2 linked regions of the Mus musculus genome follow. The protein of the gene in region 1 binds, or shares a complex with, the protein of each later gene. Links are inferred from orthologs where the notes say so. Each region holds a gene or a part of one and is shown on either strand. Other genes may lie near its edges.

Evidence for each region. Proteins that work in one complex are often made in the same cells at the same time.
Region 2: the proteins of Ap2b1 (region 1) and Ldlrap1 are in contact, whole or in part, in a crystal structure (PDB 2G30), measured with the Homo sapiens proteins. The link is inferred for Mus musculus from reciprocal best matches to the Homo sapiens genes AP2B1 and LDLRAP1. Residues at the interface, in NP_001273.1 of Homo sapiens: Arg834, Gln835, Phe837, Leu838, Trp841, Glu849, Gln851, Ile876, Ala877, Arg879, Val881, Glu882, Gln884, Met886, Tyr888, Glu902, Arg904, Ser915; in NP_056442.2 of Homo sapiens: Asp253, Leu255, Asp256, Ala258, Phe259, Ser260, Leu262, Ala263, Gln264, Arg266, Thr267.

The regions. Positions count from the first base shown.
Region 1 is NC_000077.6:83,337,104-83,340,741, forward strand, and holds part of Ap2b1 (AP-2 complex subunit beta), read left to right. Parts: intron 1-2,209; coding exon 2,210-2,325; intron 2,326-3,638. UniProt on the Homo sapiens protein: Component of the adaptor protein complex 2 (AP-2). Adaptor protein complexes function in protein transport via transport vesicles in different membrane traffic pathways.
Region 2 is NC_000070.6:134,747,866-134,751,049, forward strand, and holds part of Ldlrap1 (low density lipoprotein receptor adapter protein 1), read right to left. Parts: intron 2,590-3,184; coding exon 2,517-2,589; intron 2,178-2,516; coding exon 2,094-2,177; intron 1,603-2,093; coding exon 1,472-1,602; intron 452-1,471; coding exon 417-451; intron 1-416. UniProt on the Homo sapiens protein: Adapter protein (clathrin-associated sorting protein (CLASP)) required for efficient endocytosis of the LDL receptor (LDLR) in polarized cells such as hepatocytes and lymphocytes, but not in non-polarized cells (fibroblasts).

The DNA.
Region 1 (3,638 bases):
CACCATGTGGGTGCTGGGACTCTAATCCATGTCCTCTGGAAGAGCAGCCATCGCTCTTAATCCCTAAGCCTTCTCAGGCTCAGATTAAAGAATTTTTAACAAAACATCACTGCCCCTGCTTCCTTCCCTTCTTTACCTAGATCCACTTGCCAAAAGGATGGCTTTTAACTCTTTTGTATTAGATTATTTTGATACTTCCATATCCATAAATAATTTTGTTATTATTTATTGATTTCTTAGTTATAGATTTTTATCTTTTCAGCATACCCCCTGCCCCCCAAGCATTTTGGGGTGCTCATTGGTTTTACTTTTTAAGACAGAGTCTTACTATATAGCCCAGGCTAGCCCTAAACTCACATTCCCTGGGCCTCAGTCTCCCAAATGTGGGATTCCAGACATGAGCCTCTACGCCTGGCTTTTATTTTGTTTTCTTTTCTGTACATAGCTTTTGGTTAATATGTGTTCTTAGGTATTGTATTTTGTTTTGATTTTCATTTTTTTTTGATGCTACCTATTTATTTATTATTTTATATATTTATTGTTCAAGGCGGCAGCATGAGCCAAGGTCCATATGTGGAGGTCAGAGGACAGTTTGTAGGAATTGATTCTCTCCTTCCACCATGAGGCTCCTGGAGATCAGTCTCAGGTCATTAGGCCTGGTGGCTAGTGCGTTTATCTGATGATCCATCTGGCTGGCCCTAATACAGTACCACTTATTGATTGCTTTTTAGACTTAATAGACTTTCCCAGAGTCTAGATTGGACCTCATACCTCTGTCCCCTTTAGATGACTAAATCTGGAGGCTTGTGACAGTCAAAAGTTTTAGATGATGTTGTGTGGTTCCTTTTGAATTGTGACAAGAGGCACACAATTTAATGACCTGTAATAGTTCAGAGGGATAATTGTTCAGACTTGCCATTAAGTTTTGGGAACTTTTCTCACAATCCTATCCTTAAAAAAAAAAAAAAATCACAGTATCAAGAAATCTATTTTATCAGTTTGTAGTATATATTCAATTAATAAAAGATGAATGGGAGCCAGATGTGGTGGCACATGCCTTTAATCCCAGCACTTGGGAGCAAGAGGCAGGCAGATCTCAGAGTTCAAAGTCAGCCTGGTTGGTCTACAGAGAAAGTTCTAGGGCAGCCAGGACTTTACAGAAAAGCCCTGTCTAGAGCCGGGTGTGGTGGCGCACGCCTTTAATCCCAGCACTTGGGAGGCAGAGGCAGGCAGATTTTTGAGTTCGAGGCCAGCCTGGTCTACAAAGTGAGTTCTAGGACAGCCAGGGCTAAATAGAGAAACCCTGTCTTAAAAAAAAAAAAAAAGAAAGAAAGAAAAGAAAAGAAAAAGAAAAGCCCTGTCTAAAAACAACAACAACAACAAAAAACAAAAAACAATAAACAAAATCTCTTAGAATATTTTGAGCCATAGATAAATGAAAAAAAAATTGTAAGTCCAAACAAAATTCCTAGGTTTAGATACACGCTGTGCTGGAGGCCAGAGAGATGGCTCAATGGTTAAGAGTATTTGCTGATCTGTCATGAGAACCAGAGCCCAGTTTTCAGAAACCACATCAGAGAGAGAGAGAGAGAGAGAGAGAGAGAGAGAGAGCACGCACACATACACACCCCCTACCTACTTCCTAGAGAGAGAGGGAGAGAGGGAAGGAAGAAAAGGAGAGGGAAGGAAAGGAGAGGGGAGGGTGGGAGGAAGGGAGAGGCCAGTAAAGAAACACCAAAAACACCCTATTCAGTGTCTGTTCACTTAAGAATTCCAGTAAGGATCCCCAGTGTTGATGTGTTCTTCAGTTACCTTCCTTTCCTTCTACTCTCCTGGCTTTTGTTTGTTTGGTTTTCTTAATGTTTTCCCCATTGTCCAGGTTACTGTTCACTCGTTTAACAGAGTTATGTGGAAGATAGAGATCGCTTGCTCAGTGCAGAGCTCTTGACTAGCCAGTGGGAGGCCCGAGGTTTGCTCCTAGCAAAACACACAAAACCAAACCCAAAACTGTTTTCAATGTGTTTGCTAATGAATAAAATCTGGTATATTCCTAGAATTGTTAATGCTGATATACATTGTATCATTTAGCCTCTAGTAGCTTTAGCAGAGTCAGTGCCTGTCTGACTCAGGCAGTGTACTTGTATGTTTCCTTTTCTGTGTTGAGATAGTGTTATTGGATTAACTTAAGTGTTGATGTTTCTTTCCCTAGCAATCAGCAGAACGCTGTGTAAGCACACTGCTTGATCTAATCCAGACCAAAGTAAATTATGTGGTCCAAGAGGCAATTGTTGTCATCAGGGACATCTTCCGAAAATACCCCAACAAGTATGTCAAAATTCATGTAATCTTCTTTCTCAGATCATTTGGGAAACGTATAAGTAAGGCACTTTGAAATTGACTCGGTAAGAATTATTATTCCATATATAACTGGTCATAGTAGATTTTTTTTTAATGAAGTCAGAGATACATAGTGGGTATCAAACAGACACTAAAACTTCTCGTTTAAATATGGGAATGGAGTTTTAAGTTGGCCCCATGTGCTGGGATTACAGGCATGAGCCACCATAGCAGCTGTTCATTATTTTTGTAGAAATGAGGCTTAGCTTAAGTATATACTTGGCATAGACTACATCAAACACATAAGATTGTTTGTTGTGTCAGAGTTACCATTACACAGGAAGCCTATTTATCCCTAGGTGTCTTGATACACTCGCTCCATGCAGACCAATGATTGTGTCCTTCCTCCTCTCAGAATAACTTTTCCAGCCGCCATGCTGTTTGCTCAGCATGGGGCCCCACTGCCTTGTGGGAGCAGCAGAGTGCATTCAATAAGTTACTCCCCTGGCCTCTGCTGACACACTGGGGCTGCTCCCACAGGGATCATTTACATCACAAAGTTTTTACTGGGGCTCTTAGTTCATAAAACAAAATACTTTGATTCTGAGACCTGCAGTCCAGAATTAGTGCAGGATTTGGGTTTTTGTGAGATTTTTTTTTTGTTTTGTCTTGAGAAGTGTTATTTTTAGAAAGAGGACCACCACCTTTTACTCAACTCCCTCCAAAAGTGAAGGATCAAGTTTCTAAACTGTTTTGTTACAGGTTAAGGAAAAAAAAAAGATCAATAGAGAAATGTGTAAAACTTGTGTAAATAAGGGGTTATGACAGTTTAATTTCAAGAAAATAGTCAGAGTCTGGTTTAATAAGTAGGAATAGGGCAGATACTTGGCCTAGTATACTAGTTATCCACATTAATATATTCTGTTTCAGTCTAATGTTGAAAATCACATTAGCCAGCTAGATCTGATGGCATGGGCCTATAATCTCAGCTATTCAGGAGGCCAAGACAGGACATGGACAAGCTCAAGCCAACCCTTGCAACCTAGCAAGACCCTGCTTTAAACAAGAGGAGAGCAGTAGGCTGAGAATACTGCTCATAGGAAAGAGTTTGCCTGGTATGTGTTGGATCCTAGGTTCAGTCTTCAGTAATAAAAATAAAATTTTAAGTTATGTTAGTAAAGGACGTATAGATTCAGCAAGGTGAATACGTAGTTATAAGAAAGGTTGATTTTTAAACACAAGATAATGGTATTTTCTTATACCACAGGTTAATTTATTCCCTCGTGAACATGTCTGTCTCA
Region 2 (3,184 bases), on another chromosome or scaffold:
GTCCTTGGCCAGGCCTCACCTGCTGATCGGACCCTGGTTGCAGCAAGAGGTGCAAGAGGGAGGAGGGAGGCTGGAGGGCAAAGGCACCAACCCTAAGCAAAGCCCTGAGACAGGAGGCAATGAAGACCCTTTGCATCCAAAGGGGGAACGAAGGAGGCCCAGGGACCCGGGCCAGAGGAACCAGAGGAACCCAGTCCTCACCCGCAGCCTTCTCAAGCTACGCCTGCATTTTGACTGAACTGCAAAAGCTTTTTCACACATCAGACACCATGCAAGGTTTTCGTTCCTTCGTAGTAAGCTCCCGGTCTCGAGAAATCCAAGAATTGTTGTGCAGAAAGCTAAAGCCCAAGGGTAAAGGAGAGCCCAGGTCCAGCCCGAGACCTGCACCGAGCACAAGCCCTCAGAGTGTTTGTTACCTTGAAAATGCTTCGTCCAGGCCGTCATCCAGCTCCTGGGAAACAAATGGAGAAGTAAGAACTCTGGGTGGGGTCGTGTCCCCAAGGGAGCTACAGGGACCCGGGACCTGTATGTGTGTGTGTGGTGGGGGGAGGGGGTGCCTATAGGAACTAGCACAGGCAGGCTTCCTTCATACCCAATCCATGGTCTCAAAACTGGGGCCTGGCCTGTGGACCATACATTTAATCCTAGTACTTGACAGATTTCTGAGTTTGAGGCCAAAGTTCAGAACAGCCAGGGCTATGTAGAGAGCCTCTGTCTCAAAAGTCAAAACAACCTGACAGAAAGAAAGGAAGGCAAGGCAAGGCAAGGCCAGGCCAGGCCAGGCCAGGCTGGAACCATGACAGTCACCAGGTGTCATTCCACAGTGACTCTTGGCCCAGAAGGCTAGCCAGGACCAAATGGAGCAAGGAATCCGCAGATGCTGGAGCAGGGTCCAATCGGTCCGTCAGTGCTGCTAGGATGCTAACATCTGCATTGTCTATGATGCACTGGGATAATACAGACTGAAACCGACTGAAACCCAAATGAAAACTGAAATTAAGAGCCATTCAGGTTCCTCTGGGAGATGCTGTGGAAGGCCAGTGTCCTCACTGAGGGAAAGAAAAAGCTGACACAGAGGTCAGGCGCAGGCCATGAGTCCTGAGAGCCAGCAGCAGGGCTGTGCCCTTAGACAGCTGAGAAGGGAAGATGCCAGGCACAAACCTGCCATGCCCAGAACAAGGGAGCCTTTGCTGCTCAGGGTGGGAAGGGCCACAGACTCCAAGTCAGAGTATTGTGAGGAGACGGCTGTGCTGGGGACCAGGCCTGTCAAGGACACAACCGTGGCTTCAGAGGGGACATTGTTCAGCCACTCCACCCAGAGCCTGGGTTCTTTGTGCTGGGTCTAGTCCGCCCAGAGGCCTCTAAGTCATGGTCTCAGGGCCTGGACCTGGGAACCACTCCATGCTCGTTCAGAGACCTGGCTAAAGCTCACTGGATCCCCAAACCATGCCCAGGCCACAGAGCTACTCACCCAGACGACGCTGTTGTTGCCCAAGACCTGAGGCCGTGGTGTCTCGTCCACGTTGTTGGTATTAGCGCTGACTGTAGATAACGGGGCCTTAGCCACCTCTTCCAAATCCAGCAGGTTCCCGGTAGCGACCACTAGGGGGAGTCAGTTGGGGACATTAGGAAGAAAGGAGGTACAGCCCCTCTGGCCTCTGCAAGCATTCTGGTACTCCTGCACTATACTGGTCCTGACTTGTTCTCGGACTCTGACCTTGTCCAGATGTAGGACCCTGATCACCTGGATCCCCACCCGGACCCAGTTCCACCTGGAGCTCCAGGGCAGTTGCTTGCTAGAGAGGACCTGTGGCCCCAGAGGGCAGACCTGGAACCTGCAAATTCCTAACAGGAACTGAATGCACAAAAGCACACCAAGTAGGCTGGGATGTCTACCGGGCTCTGAGGCAGACAGGAGCGCATATGCACTTGTGCGTATTCCTAGGGCACACCCAGGTACGCGCACGAGCAAGCACAGCAACCTCTTAGCTCCCGACAAGGCACTTGTGTTGCAGACTTTAACAGAACAGGAAACAGCAAGAGTCCAGGAGGGAAGGCCTGGGTAGAGGGCAAGCCTGGTGCCCAAGACTCACAGGTTTTCAGTGAGGGGGTGCTGTCCCGTCGGGTCCCTGGGACGTCTCCTCCTTCCTGGTTGGCTTTCTCCCTTTTCTCTTTCTCTGTGGGATCAAGGCATGAGCTGCTGAGCCCTTAAAGCAGACACCACCGTCTCCAATTAGCCACTGGGGAGGAGGCAGGCTGAGTATGCTCAGAGGCAGGCGGAGGTCGCCATCAAAGAGGAGCAACACCTTCCAGGGTTCCCTTAAACCCAAACACTCTAAAGGAGGGGGAAGACGGCCTTTGTCCAGATGGGGAAACTGAGGCTTAGAGAAGTAACAGGACCTGTTCAGAACCACAAACCCAGGACGAGATGAGGGTGGGGTCAGCCTGGGTCTGACGCCTGCCTGGAACCTGTCCCTTCCCACATCACTCACAGTGCCCGGGGGGGGAAGACTCACCTTCCTTGGACACCTGCCAAAACTCAAAGGCAACTTTGAAGGCTTGGGCTACAGTCAGGGTGACGGCTTGGGCCTGAAAAACAGGAAATGGGGGTGGGGATGGGTGCAGTGTCAGCCAGCAAAAGCAAGTATGAACTGGAGGGCTGAGGGGGTGCCCACCCCATGCCAAGCTCCGAAAGGCTGAGGGAAGGGGGCAGGGGCCTAGCTCTCTCATTTCCCACAAACAGCCTAGGGCATAATGAAGCCACAGCCTGGAGAGGCAGCTGAAACCTACTGAAGCACTTCCTGTCCAGTCCCTCCAACAATGGCTGCTCACCACCTGCCTCTTCAGGCATACCTAAACCAACTGTGAGGGCTACTTCTTCTGGGAAGTCCTCCTGGGTTATCTGAGGATTCCCTACACTCACAGAACTCTTGGACCAGGTAGCAGAAGACAGGAGGCGAAGAGCCTAACCATACTTGAATGAACTACTAATGAATAGTGGAAGTCCCACTATTCAGGGTTACAGGGCATTTGGGGGTGCCAGCCGCTGAAAACTGACACCCCCCCCCCCAGCAAAGTAGGAGGTAGCACAATCGAGATGCTGGCAAGGGTTAGGAACAAAAGCCATCTAGCACATGACCAGCCTATGAGCGGGTGCCTTGGCGCCACCTCTGTCACCAACACA